2 linked regions of the Anolis sagrei genome follow. The protein of the gene in region 2 binds, or shares a complex with, the protein of the main gene of each other region. Links are inferred from orthologs where the notes say so. Each region holds a gene or a part of one and is shown on either strand. Other genes may lie near its edges.

The links. The genes of interacting proteins can lie anywhere in the genome.
Region 1: the proteins of HCN2 (region 2) and PEX5L are in contact, whole or in part, in a crystal structure (PDB 4EQF), measured with the Mus musculus proteins. The link is inferred for Anolis sagrei from reciprocal best matches to the Homo sapiens genes HCN2 and PEX5L. Residues at the interface, in NP_032252.1 of Mus musculus: Leu859, Ser860, Ser861, Asn862, Leu863; in NP_001156988.1 of Mus musculus: Glu315, Glu317, Val343, Asn347, His426, Asn453, Arg454, Ala457, Thr458, Ala460, Asn461, Tyr472, Arg484, Tyr487, Asn488, Ile491, Ile494, Ile537.

The regions. Positions count from the first base shown.
Region 1 is NC_090023.1:257,893,178-257,900,074, forward strand, and holds the start of PEX5L (PEX5-related protein), read right to left. Parts: upstream 3,010-6,897; 5' UTR 2,973-3,009; coding exon 2,862-2,972; intron 1-2,861. UniProt on the Homo sapiens protein: Accessory subunit of hyperpolarization-activated cyclic nucleotide-gated (HCN) channels, regulating their cell-surface expression and cyclic nucleotide dependence.
Region 2 is NC_090034.1:52,435,734-52,443,105, reverse strand, and holds the start of HCN2 (potassium/sodium hyperpolarization-activated cyclic nucleotide-gated channel 2), read left to right. Parts: upstream 1-4,377; coding exon 4,378-4,790; intron 4,791-7,372. UniProt on the Homo sapiens protein: Hyperpolarization-activated ion channel that is permeable to sodium and potassium ions. Displays lower selectivity for K(+) over Na(+) ions. Contributes to the native pacemaker currents in heart (If) and in neurons (Ih).

The DNA.
Region 1 (6,897 bases), on a different chromosome or scaffold from region 2:
TGACTCCATTGAGATAAAAGTAAAAGAACCAATGTAGTATTGTTTTGAATGTTGGACGAGGGCTCTGGAAGACGAAGTTTAGGTTTCCAGCTCAGGCCTGCAAATATCAGTGATGGCCTTGGGCAAATCACATTTTCTCAGCCTCAGAGGAAGGCAGTGACAAACCCCTCTGAACCAATCTTGCCAGAAAAGCTCCATGATAGGGTCACCTTATGTTGGAAACAACTTGAAAGTATAAAACAACAAACAACAAATGCTTTTCTATTAAGATTACAAAACGTATGGTGGCATTATAGCCATTTTTAATTAGTTTTCTTAGATCAAATTTACCCCCTCGAGAAATTTCTAGGTTTTCCAGTACCACCCTATGGTCAACAGCCAGTGGAATCTAAATATAGAATAGCACCTGAGGACATAAACATGCTAGAGAGAACAGTTTTAATGAAATATATGAATAACCAAAACTGCAAATATGGAGAGACAACTGTTTTGCAAATGCAATGCTAGGATCTTTTTGCATTACATAATTATGCCACTATATTGCACTTTACCACACGTTGTTATGATATCTACTCTGGAATTTGTTCCAGACCTGCCTCATTTCACATTCATGCACCCTTAACAAAAATGGAAATATGTGAACTTGTCCTAAAAGTGACCCATTGTTGGTTGGATGAAATATCAAGTTCTCCATTTGCTTTATTGCTCAAAGAAATTACATCCTTTGATAACTTTTAAAAAGTAGACATAAATGTACACATTGCCCTAGATTCTGCAGGCTTTGTAGTCACTACACTAACCCACATCTTCTTTGCAGAGATCAAGAGCCTGGAGAGGAATTAAAGTTCATCACTGAAGGGCAACGCAGATCTATATTTTTAAAACGTGAGACCATGGCTTTTCACATTTTTTTTCAAGGTTATCTCTGTCCCTACCCAATTTTCCAACTGCTCTGGAAAGTAATTGGGTCTCTAGGCACACCGCTCGATAAGATTCTGCTGCCTTCTTGCTCATTGTCAATTCTGCAGGTGCTTTTTAAAGAACACCCAGGTGTTCAGAATAGCAAGCCACCTGGGAATCTGCATTTTCCATTGGTGAGCAGAACAGGGTGGTAGCACCTGACTCTTCCGAGGCTGGGTCAAATATGCTAACTTAGCAAATCTTTCAGGACTATTGTTGGAGAAAGGAAATAGATTTTGTGTGTGTGTGTTAAGAGGAAAGAAAGTAAATTGTATTTTCCAAGTAATGGAAACTTGCAATGCATTTCTCTTCTTCTGTTGCTGCTCATCAGGACACAGAAAGATCTCTGTCAGCTCAAACTAAAGGACTATTTAACTACAGCTTGGAAAAGTTAGTGTTTGGACTTTGCTGGAATTATGAACCTCCAGATCGACTCCAACTGTCATGTCTAACCTGAACATATGTGTAAAAGGTAATGCAAAGTGTTCTTTGAAGAATCATAAAGTGAGATCTGCTCTCAAAGGCCATCCAGTCTAACCCCCTGCCATGCAGGAATATGCAGATGAAAATACCAATGAAAGATGCCAGTCCAAAATCTTGTGTATCTCCAAATATGGAGAGTTCACCACTTTTCAAAACTTTCTATTCCACCATTGAGCAGTTTCTACCATTGGTCTTCCTTTATGTGCAATTCACATTGACATTTGAATCCATTCATTTGTTTTGTAGTCTCTGGAACAACACAAAACAAGATTGTTCCATCTTCTTTTTAGGTGGACAGGCTCATATGCATGTATAAGCAATACAGATAATTCCAGGTTCTGAAACATTTTCATCCTCACATTGTGTAGAACAGGGATCCTCAAACTAAGGCCCAAGGGCTGGATACGGCCCCCCAAGGTCATTTACCCGACCCTTGCTTGGGGTCAACCTAAGTCTGAAATGACTTGAAAGCACACAACAATAACAACAACAACAACAACAATCCTATCTCATCAGCCAAAAGCAGGCCCACACTTCCCACTGAAATACTAGTAAGTTTATATTTGTTAAAATTGTTATTCATTTTAATTATTGTATTGTTTTTAACTGTTTTTTGCACGACAAATAAGATATGTGCATTGTGCATAGGAATTCATTAATGCTTTTTTCAAATTATAATCTGGCCCTCCAACAGTTTGAGGGACTGTGACCTGGCCCTCTGTTTAAAAAGTTTGAGGACCCCTGGTCTAGAATGTTAGGAAATCAATAAGTTGTTAATTTAACCCCAAGGAAAAACTAATGCACTTGTCTACTGAAAGAGGAGTCACAACTAGAAATGACTTTTGGTCACAATTGCCAGTTAGTAGAGTCTACACAATGAGGACAGAACTATTTCTTCCTCCCAACGCAGTTGCCCACCCAAGTTTTAATGTATGCTTCCTAGAGAAAGGTAGTTGGCTAGAAGGGTAAACAAGATGCCGACCTGGATAAGAAATCTGACATGTTCCTGATTGTAATGCTTCTATCATCACAATAATCATTACTACCACCATCCCACTACATTTTTAGTATTTTTAGTACTTGTTTTTGCGGCTTTTGCACTGTGGTATTGCTTTTTGCTTCCCATTTTCCTCTGTTGTTGAACCACATTTGTCCCTTTTGGACAAGGACCAAAAATTTTAACCACTATGTTTTTTTTCCATAAAATACCACATTAAATGATAACATATGATTTCAAAAATTAGCATCACAAAGTTTATTGCCTTCTCCATGCCTTTGGATGAGCAAAGAACTGTCCAGGGTTCTGAAGTCTTGCCCAACCTCTGTGCTACTCAAAGTGGTCCCTGAATCACTGCCTGTCAGTCCCTGGCAAGTCTACAGGAAATAAATAAACAAACAATTGTACCAAAATGTCATACCTGGCACATTGGAAAACAACAGTTGCCATCCCTGCACATCACAGAGCCTGAGAAGAACTGCATACAGAAAGAACCATCTGCTATGCCCTTCCTGCAGTGCAATTCCAACATATTATTCGCACAGGAGAAGCCTATCCAGCATAATGGGTGGAGTGCTAGAATGTTGACTAAGATTACACAGGTTCTAATCTCAGCTTTGCCCTGAGAAAATCTCTCTAATGCAGGTCAAGTCAATGTATTGTAGCCCAACTTGCACTTTAGGGTCATAATAGTGGAAAACTGGCTGGTGTTCATTGGGGAAAGGGTATATTTTAAAATGCAGCAATAAAAAAACCCAATATAATAATAATAATAACAACAACAAAGTATGGATTGTCTATGTTGCAATCCCAGGTGACAGCATGATCGAAGTGAAACAACTAGAAAAGTTGACACAATATGAAGATTTAAAGATCAAACTGCAAAGACTCTGGCACAAGCCAGCCAAGGTGGTCCCAGTGGTGATCGGCACATTGGGTGCAGTGCCTAAAGACCTTGGCCTGCACTTAAACACAATCGGCGCTGACAAAATTACTATCTGCCAGCTGCAGAAGACCACCTTACTGGGATCTGCATGCATTATTTGCCGATACATCACACAGTCCTAGACACTTGGGAAGTGTCCGACGTGTGATCCAATTCAACAGCCAGCAGAGTGTCTCCTGTGGACTCATCTTGTTTTTTTTCAAATAATAATAATAATAATAATAATAATAATAATAATGTTTTTTTCTATCCCAATTCCTCTTCCCAGGGGACTTGGGGTGGCTTACAACATGAATAATACAATAAAGTACAATACAGTAAAATACAAAAAAAGGAATAAGCAATTAATAACACATCCCATTGATATAAAATATAATAATACTGTAGTCCTAATAGCTTGGAATTTTTAAAAGAAAAAAAAATAAAACTTTGTATTTCCAGTATGGATAATTTTCCACACTGACTTCCTGAGCATCTACACTGTAGAAGGAATGCAGTTCGACACCACTTTACTTGCCATGGCTCAATGTTATGGAATCCTGGGATTTGTAGTTTGCTAAAGCTCAGCATGTTTTTGAGACATAATGGCACTATTCCATGTGAAATACTTGACAGTTGCCACCCCTCAAAACAGGCAGAGAACAGAAAAAAAAAGTGAAAGTAGGCATGCAGCAAGAGGTACTAAAAGTATCAAAGAACTTATGAATTATTATTGAGAGAAATCAAGCAACAAATGGGCTTTATCTGATGAATCACTTATCTCTTTCTCTGACTAACCCTCTCCCTCACAATCCTTTCACTCACTTATCACTTAAATCTTTCCATCTAACTCCTTTGGCTTGCTCTGTTTCTCACTCCCACTCTTCACTCTTCCTCAGTTGAACTCCATGGGTTTTCAACTGCCTGAAGTGATGTTTCTGCTTTAAAGCTTTTCTCTCTCTTTCATGCTCTCTCTCTCTCATACACACACATACACAGTTGAAAGCAAAAGTGGAAGCAGATCCAATTTCAGAGACAGCTAGGATTGAGCCCACAAGCAAAAGTGCTGGCAAATTTAGACTTTACTAACAAATATGCTAGTTATTACCTCCTGGGATAAGCATTTCAAACATCTAGAAACGGGGAAACATTTTAAGGGATGAGATCTGAACCTGGGATCAGGTGGAGGTAAATATGATGCTGAAAGAATAAACTGTAGTCTGGATTGTGATCCCAAAAAGGCTGGTTTAGGCAATAGGGCCTGAGGTCCACCGTGATGGACTAAAGACCTGGGCATTATACAATGTAAATTTATTTATTTATTTATTATATTTGCATACCGCTCTTCTCAGCCCTCGGGCGACTTAGAGCGATTCACAATAGCAAAATTCAATGCGTAAAACATCATAAAACAGTTAAAAACAATTAAAACAATAGCATTATAACAATAAATTAAACATCATATAACATCTCATACTGTCCATAGTTAAAATCAAGATCTAGTCTCATCATCCAATTGTTCCATATTCCTATATTCGTTACACTGCCTATTCAAATGCCTCCTCGAACAACCAGGTCTTCACTTTCCTCCGAAATGCTAACAGGGAGGGGGTTGATTTAATTTCTGTAGGAAGGGCATTCCACAGCCGAGGGGCCACCACTGAGAAGGCCCTGTCTCTCGTCCCCGCCAAATGTACTTGTGATGCAGGTGGGATCAAGAGCAGGGCCTCCCCAGACGATCTTAATGTCCTAGCTCAGTGATTCTCAATCTGGGGTCCCCAGATATTTTTGGCCTACAATTCCCAGAAATCCTAACAGCTGGTAAACTGGCTGGGATTTCTGGGAGTTGTAGGCCAAAAACATCTGGGAACCCCAGGTTGAGAACCACTGTCCTAGCTGGTTCATAGGAGAAGATGTGTTTGGACAGGTTAGTTGGGCCAGAACTGACAACAATGCAACCATCAACAAGATCTTGCATGGTTAACTGCTCCTGTTCAAAATTTCACTCGCTCAGATCCTGTGTCAGCAAAATCCATCCCATTTCCCTTTCTACCCAATGGTCCATTGTCAACCACCTCCAAGAGTAACTCAGCCTTCTTTGCCTATTGTGCATCCTCATGCCTCATTAAATTCTATTGGTTTCTTATTCTCCTTTTCCAGCTGAAAATGCTTTATATATATTATTCAATACATACAGATACTATTATTATTTATTATGATATATAATGCTTTCCTGTTTGGCATGTGAATATCCATTACAGTGACATCATTAAAAGAAGTGACTCTATGTAATCTGAGAAGCTATTATCCCGCTTCACAAGAAAAATCTACTCAATACCAAATTATCCCAATTACCTACTTCATGTCTCTTATCCTCCAAGATAGACAAAGTAATGATTCTGATACCTCCCCCATTTTTTTCCAGCTAGGAGGAACTCTCTCTGTTAAAAAAAGGGCGGACAGGTAAATTTCCCAATGGCATCCTTAATTTCTACTGGCTGTTTCATCTGTCAGATCTCCTGCTCTGCAAGCTACCTGCCACTTAGATGAACATTCAAAGGGAACCAAGTCTAATGGTCTAAGATCAGCTGCTATTCTCAAAGAGATCACAATACAACCACTTCTGACACATCCTGAGATTAATGCTATCAGGGACTAATGAACTGTAAAAAAAAAAAAGGGGGGGGGGATACTAGAGATAACAAAGGTTTTGTGTTTTTCCTCACCTGCATTTAGCGTAGTTTTCGGTTGACGCACCTATATCACACTACCTTTTGCTGAAGTGGAAAGTGCATTAATCCCAAGTAATAGGCACTCCCCTTACTGACCCTGGAAAGGTTAAAACTGGAGAAGATTAGGAAGTGGAGCTTATGGATTTAGTTATGAGCCCCCTACTTCACTCACTCCATAATACAAGGACTGAGTCTCATGATGTAGCCTAAGACTTGTTAGTGTTACTTGGAATGACTATCAAATTACTGCCAGTCTCTGAGTTAATAACTTCCAAGTTATGAACAACTCATAGTTATGAACAAGCTTCTTCCATCTCTCTCCTTGCCATAAAATCTTAGCGCTGAGCCAAAGCATGTCTATATCTCTCCAAACTCATTTCCTTTTTCTTCCTATTGATATCCAAACTACTTTTCTTCCTATGGATCCCTGCAAACTTCTTTCTTTGTTCTTCCTATTGATCTCTCTAAATGCCCTTTCCCCTTCCTTCCTATTGATCTTTTCAAACCCCCTTTCCTTGTTCTTCCTATCAATCCCCCCAAACCCTTTCTCCTTTTCTTCCTATCGATCTCTCCAAACCCCTTTTTCCTTTTCTTTCCTATTGAGATCTCCTTCATCCTCTCTGTATCTCTCCACCTCTCCTCTCCTTTCTTTCATGGCTGACACCACTTTTAACTGCCCTGGCTCAATGCTATGCAATGCTGGGATTCATAATTTGGTGAGGCAGCAGCATTCTTTGGCATTCTTTGGCAGACAAGTCTAAAGACCTTGTAAAACAGCTCCCAGGATCCCATAGCAATAA
Region 2 (7,372 bases):
CTTCCCTCCCTCCTTCCCTTCCTTGCCTACTTTCTCCTTTCTCCAGCTCTAAGATGGCCTACCTCCTTTCTCTTCCCTTCTTTTTCTTTCATTTCCCTCTCTTTCCTATCATTTTGTCTTTTCTTCTTAACTTCCTTGCGTACTTTCTCCTTTCTCCAGCTCTAAGATGGCCTACCTTTCTCTTCCATCCTTTTTCTTCCATTTTACTCCCCCCTTTCCTTTCTTTCCTGTCATTTTTCTCTTTTCTTCCTTCTTCCCTTGCCTCCTTTCTCCAGCTCTAAGGTGGCCTCCCTGCGTTCTCTTTCTTCCTTTTTCTTTCTTCTATCTCTCCCTCTTTTCTGTCCTATCATTTTTCTCTTTCATTTCTTCTTCCCATCCCTGCCTGCTTTTTCCTTTCTCCAGCTCTAAGATGCCCTACCTCCTTTCTCTCCCTTCCCTTCTGTTTTTTTCTTTTGTGTCCTTCCCTTGTTTCCTTTCTTTCCTATCGTTTTTGTTTTGCCTTCCTTCTTTTCTTCCTTGCTTCCTTTCTCCAGCTCTAAGGTGGCCTCCCTGCATTCTCTTTCTTCCTTTTTCTTTCTTCCATCTCCCTCTCTCTTTTCTTTCCTATCATTTTTCTCATTTCTTCCCATCCCTGCCTGCTTTATCCTTTCTCCAGCTCTAAGATGTCCTACCTCCTTTCTCTCCCTTCCTTTCCGTTCTTTTTCTTTTGTGTCCTTCCCTTGTTTCCTTTCTTTCCTATCATTTTTGTTTTGCCTTCCTTCTTCCCTTCCTTGCCTCCGTTCTCAAGCTCTAAGGTGGCCTACCGGCTTTCTCTTCTTTCCCATTTCTTTCATTTCTCCCTCCCTCATTTCCATTCTTTCCTATCATTTTCTCTTTCCTTTCTTCTCCCCTTCCTTGCCTACTTTCTCCTTTCTGCAGCTCCAAGAAGGCCTACTTTGCAATGCTTCTGTGGCAAAGCTGTGGCAGGCTCTCTTTGTGGCTCTTTCTTTCCGTCCTTCCTTCCATTGTCCTCATATGCCCCCTTCTCTCTCTTTCTTTCTCCATCCCTTACATCCCTCCATCCTTTGCCTTCCCTCCCGTTTCTTTATTTCTTCACATTTTTGAAAAATCACAATGATGCTATCTGTAAAACGGGATTTTGAACCCCAAGACAAACCACAGACGGCCTCTTTGGGTTCCTTTATAATAGTCTTGCTTCGTTAAAGCGAAACCTAAGCACTAAACCATAATGTAAGCGGATGCTTTCCCAGAAGGAAAACGTTTGAGATGATTATCCACATTTCCAAAGGAAGGGTTGCCTATCTGCATTTCAAATCAGGCCGAGCTGCATCTCGGGACCAGAGTCTAAATGGGCTTTGACATTAATACCATTTCCGCATGCCATCTCTCCTCAAGGCTGGCCGGCAGTCTAAATTAGGGAGACTGAGAAAGCATTTCATTTGCCACTGGAGGGATCCAGCGGGTTGAATGCACTTATGAATAGCTGCTGAAGATAATGGGCCACTGCTTGAGCAGTCATTGCGTGCATCTACACTGTAGAATTCATGCAGTTAGAGACCCTTTTTGACTGCCATGCTTTCCCTCCCCACTGAAATCCTCTATAATTTTCTCCCTTCCGCTCTTCTCTCATTCTCATCTGAACTTTTCCTCCTCTTCTTTAGGCCTTCCTTTTGCCCATCATCCCACTTTCCCTCCTTTTGATTACATCTTCTTTCGTTCATCCATCTTCCCTTCCTTTACCTCTTTTGGCCTTCCAGTGCCCTTCCTAACCTCCTTCCTTCCATTAATCTTTCGCTCCTCCCTCATTTCCTTCTTCCCCTTCTTTAACCTTGCCTCTCTTTTGACCTTCCTTCCCACTTCCTTTTCTTCCTGTGCCCTTTCTTCCCTTTTCTTCCTCCCTCATTTTCTTCCTTTTCCCTCTTCTTTCTTTTCCCTTCCCTGCTTCCTCCCTCCTCTCCTTCTCCCCATCCCTTGTCCTTCCCTTTCTTTTGACCTTCCTTTCCTTTTCTCCCTTTTCCTTCGTTTCTTTCTTCCTTGTCCTTTCTTTTTCCTTCCCTTCTTCCTCCCTCATCTCCTTCTTCCATCTCCTTGCATTCTTTTATTTTTTTTACCCCTTTTTCCTTCTTCCCTTCCCTTGTCCTTTTCTTTCTCTTGACCTTCATTCCCACTTCTTTTTTCCTGTGCCCTTCCTCCCTCATTTCCTTCCTTTCCTTGAGCTCTCTTCTTTTTCCTTCCCACTTCTCTCTCTTTTTAACTTCCTTCCCTCATCCTCCTGTTCTTCCTCCCTCATTTCCTTCTCCCCTCCTATCTTCTCCTTCTTTCTTCACCTTCCTTCCCACTTCCTTTGATTCATGTGCTATTCCTTCCTTCATTGTCCTCTTCCTCCTCCTTCCCTTTCCTCGTCCTTTTCTTCTTCCTCCCACATTTCCTCCTCCCTCCCTTCTCTCAATCTCTCCCTCCCTTTTGACCTTCCTTCCCACTTTCTTTTCATTTCCTTCTCCCCTTCCCCTCTCCTCTTCCTTTTGACCTTCCTCCCCACTTCCTCTTCTTCATGTGCCCTTAACTTCCCTCATCGCCCTTAACTTCTTCCTTCCTCTTCTTCTTCCCTTATCCTTACCCTTCCCTCCCTCACCCTCCTGTTCTTTCTCCCTCATTTCCTTCTCTCCCTCCTTTTGTCTTCTCTCTTGACCTTCCCACTTTCTTTTCTTCCCGTGCCCTTTCTCCCCATTAATCTCCTTTACTTTTATAACGCCTTCTTCCTCATTTCCTGCTTGTCTTTCCCTTCTTCCTCCCTTTCTCATCTTCACTTTCCTTGTTTTGACCTTCCTTCCCACTTCTTTTTCCTCCCTGTGCCCTTCCTTCCCTTTTCTCTATCTTCTTTCTCATGTCCTTATTCCCCTCCCTCTTGACCTTCCTCCCCACTTACTTTTCTTCCTGTGCCCTTCCCTTTTCTCCCTCTTTCTTCTCCCCATCTCCTTCTCCCCTTCCCTCTCTTTTGACCTTCCTTCCCTTTTCTCCCTCTTTTCCTTCCTCATTTCTCTCTTCTTTTTCCTTTCCTTCTTCCTGCCTCCTTCGTTTCCTTCCCTTCCCCTCTTTTAGTTCTTTTTTATCCCTTCTTCCCTTCCATTGTCCTTCCCTCTTTTGACCTTCCTTCTCACTTCCTTTTCTTCCTGTCCCCCTCCTTCTTAATTTCCTTCTCCCATTCCTTGTTCCATCTTTCTTTCTTTTTTCTTCCCTTCTTCCCTCTCTTTTGATCTTCATACCCTCATCTTCCTGTTTTTCCTCCCTCATTTCCTCTTCCCCTCCCCTTGTCTTTTCCTTTTCTCTTGACCTTCCTCCCCACTTCTTTTTCTTCCAGTGTCCTTTCTTCACATTCATGTCCTTCCCCTCTCATTTCCTGCTTGTCTTTCCCTTCTTCCTACCTCCCTCATCTTCCCTTTCCTTGTCTCTCTTTTAACCTTCCTTCCATCTTCCTTTTCCTCCCTGTGCCCTTCTCTTCCCTTTCTCATTTCCTTCTTCCATCCTCTTGTCTTCTTTTCTTTTGACCTTCCTTCTCACTTCCTTTTCCTCTGTGTGCCCTTCCTTTCTTTCCTTTCCTCTTTCTCATTTCCTTCTTCCCTTTCCTTCTCCCATCCTCGTCTTCTTTTCTTTTGACCTTCCTTCTCACTTCCTTTTCCTCTGTGTGCCCTTCCTTTCTTTCCTTTCCTCTTTCTCATTTCCTTCTTTCCTTTCCTTCTCCCATCCTCTTGTCTTCTTTTCTTCTGACCTTCCTTCTCACTTCCTTTTCCTCTGTGTGCCCTTCCTTTCTTTCCTTTCCTCTTTCTCATTTCCTTCTTCCCTTTCCTTCTCCCATCCTCTTGTCTTCTTTTCTTTTGACCTTCCTTCTCACTTCCTTTTCCTCCTTGTGCCCTTCTTTTCCCATTCTCTTTCTCATTTCCTTCTTCCCTTTCCTTCTCCCGTCCTCTTGTCTTCTCCTTCTCTTTTGACCTTTCTTCCCACTTCCTTTTCTTCCCTTTTCTCTCTCTCCTTACTCATTTCCTTCTTCCCTCTCCCTTGTCCTTCCCTTTTGACCTTTCCTCTCTCATCCTCTTGTTCTTCCTCCTGCAATGCCTTCTTGACTTTCCTTGTCCTCTCTTTTTCCCTTCTCTCTTGACCTTCCTCCCCACTTCCTTCTCCTCATTTCCTCTCCTCCTCAGCCTCCCCCTTTTGACCTTCCCTTTTCTTTCCCGCCTTCCTTGGCCCCGCCCCTTTCCCCGGAGGCCCCGCCCCTTTCCCCCTTCCTCTCCAGAGCGGCTGCCGCAGGAGCCGGGCGCGCCGGGCGCGGAGTGCGCGTGCGCGGGGGAGTGGGCGGGGCCTGGCGCGCCTGGCCTCTCCGGCATGCGGGCGGGCGGCAGTCGCGGCGGCGTCGCGGTGGAGGACAGCACGATGGGTTCGCGGGCCGGGAAAGGCGGCTCCCCGAACGGCGAGTGCCGGCGGGGCGGCGGGGGAGCCGAGCCTGCGCCCCCCAAGGTCTCCTTCTCCTGCGACGGAGGGGGCGGCGGGGGCTCGGGCTCGTCCCCGAAGGCGGGCGAGGATGCCGGGCCCGGGGCCTGCGAGGAGGGTGGCGAGCCCCGCGGAAGCGGCACCAACCAGGGGCCCACCTTCATGCAGCGCCAGTTCAGCGCCATGCTCCAGCCCGGCGTCAACAAGTTCTCGCTGCGGATGTTCGGCTCCCAGAAGGCCGTCGAGCGCGAGCAGGAGCGCGTCAAGTCCGCCGGCGCCTGGATCATCCACCCCTACAGCGACTTCAGGCGAGGAAGCGGAGCGAGGGAGGGAAGGGAGGGAGGCCTGGCTCGCGGAGTCACGTTCGCCCCAGCGAGATTCCCCTCGCTGGGGAAATTAAATTACCTCAGGGACAGAAGTCAAATGGCCCCGGGACATTTTACCTGGGAGACATTTCACCTCAGGAGAATTCCCTCTGGCAAGTCAAATTACTTCAGGGAAAATCACCTTGGGACAATTCACCTCAGGGACATTTACCTCGGAACAATTCACCTCAGGGAAGTTTATGTCAGGGAAATTTACCTCGGGAGAATTTACCCCCATGACATTTACCTCAGCACAATTCACCTCAGAGAAATTTACCTCGGGAGAATTCACCTCAGGGAAGGTAAATTACCTCAGGGAAGTTCACCTCAGGAAAATTTACTTCCAGACAGTTTACCTCAGGCCAGTTACCTCAGGGAAATTTTCCTCAGGATAATTCATCTCAGGGAAGTTGAATTACCTCAGGGAAATTCGCCTCAGGAGAATTACCTCAGTGATATTCACCTCTGCAAAATTTACATCAGGAGAATTCACCGCTGCAAAATTTACCCAGGACAATTTACTGTAGGAGAATTACCTCCATGACATTTACCTCAGGGAAATCTACCTTGGGACAGTTCATCTCAGGGAAGTTAATTTACCTCAGAGAAATTCATCTCAGAACAATTCACCTCCATGACATTTACCTCAGGGCAATTCACCTCCGGGGAAATTTACCTCAAGACAATTCACCTCAGGGAAATTTACCTCAGGAGAATTACCTCAGGGAAGTCAAATTGCACTGGGACATTTTATGTAGGAGAGATTTACCTCAGGAGAATTACCTCATGGAAGTTAAATTACCTCAGGACAATTACCTCTGGAAAGGCAAATTACTTCAGTTAAGTTTACCTCAGAACAATTTGCCTCATGACATTTTACATCAGGAGAATTACATTACCTCAGTTAAGTTCCCCCGTGGAATGTCAAATTGCCCCAAGTTTACCTCAGGAGAATTACCCCAGGACAGTTTACCACAGGGAAGTCAAAATTGCCTCTGGACATTTTACCTGAGAGAGATTTACCTCACAACAATTTACCTCAGAGAAGTTAAATTTATCTCAGAAGAATTGCCTTTGGAAAGTCAAATTAACCTGGGGAATTTACCTGAGGGAAATTTACCTCAAGACATTTTACCTCAGGGAAGTTCAATTACCTCTGGGACATTTACCTCACAAAAGTTGAGTTACCTTGGAACATTTACCTCAGAGGAATTACCTCTGGGAAATTTACCTTAGGAGAATTATCTCTGGGAAGTTAAATTATCTCAGGGGGATTCCCTCTGGACATTCTACCTCTGTGAAGTTAAATTACCTCTGGGGTGTTTACCTCAGTAGAATTGCCTCTGGACATTTTACCACATGGAAGTTACTCTTCCTTGGGGAAATGTCCCTCAGATAGTGAGGAAACTGGGCATTTCCTCAATGGAGTGGTGGCTCCATTGAGGAACTAGGAGTTTGGGGGCATTGCCTCTGAGGGATTGCCTCCGGTTAGTTTGTATTTGTCACTCTGCAAAGATTGGATGTCTTTATCTTGGGGAAATAACCTCTGGTAGTGGCAAAGCTTTGTTGTGTTGGTATTCTACAAGAATTCAGGGAAATGGGATCGGAGAGCGTGCCTTCAGAGTCATGAAAGATATGAATGTGATGGAAGAGGTACTTTCCTTGGACAACTTGCCCAAGAAAACTCTGTGATAAGTTTGTTTTATGGGGTCACCATAAGTTGAAGGAACACCACAAAGTAAGAAAGAGGCAGCTTTAGAGTAAATTCAGAAGAGACAGAAGGCTCTTCTCATCCTGAAAGTTTCTGTAGGAGAGAAATCGGAAGCAGTTAGCGAGACACCTTGGGATAGGGACAAGGAGCAAATACTTTGGGATAGGGACAAGGAACAATTACCATGGGATAGGGACAAGGGACAGTTACCTTGGGGTAGGGATAAGAAACAATTACCTTGGGATAAGAACAATATAAGCAAGTGTTCAGCAATTGTCCTCTAATCTCCCTTTCCATTGAAATGTGGGAAAGAGAGAAATATCCGGGTTTGGTTTTTTTTATCGTGTTAGGAGCGACTTGAGAAACTGCAAATCGCTTCTGGTATGAGAGAATTGGCCGTCTGCAAGGACATTGCCCAGGGGATGCCCGAATGATTCGATGTTTTATCATCCTTGTGGGAGGCTTCTCTCATGTCCCCTCATGAGGAGCTGGAGTTGATAGAGGGAGCTCATCCGCCTCTCCCCGGATTCAAACCTGCGACCTGTTGGTCTTCAGTCCTGCCGGCACAGGGATTTAACCCACTGCGCCACCGGGGTAGCCACCCACGAGTAGTGTTGGATGGCAGTGTGCACTGATAATTCTCATTGAAGGATCAGGAATTTCATCTCTGCTGAATCTGGAGGAAAGAAAGAAAAAGAAGATTGGGAGTAACTGCCCTTGTATTATTGTTATCATCATCATCCTTTCATGCTAGTGGCAAATTTGTAGCTAGCCGTAAGGTAATTTCAAGTGAGACAGAAGATTTGGTGGAAAC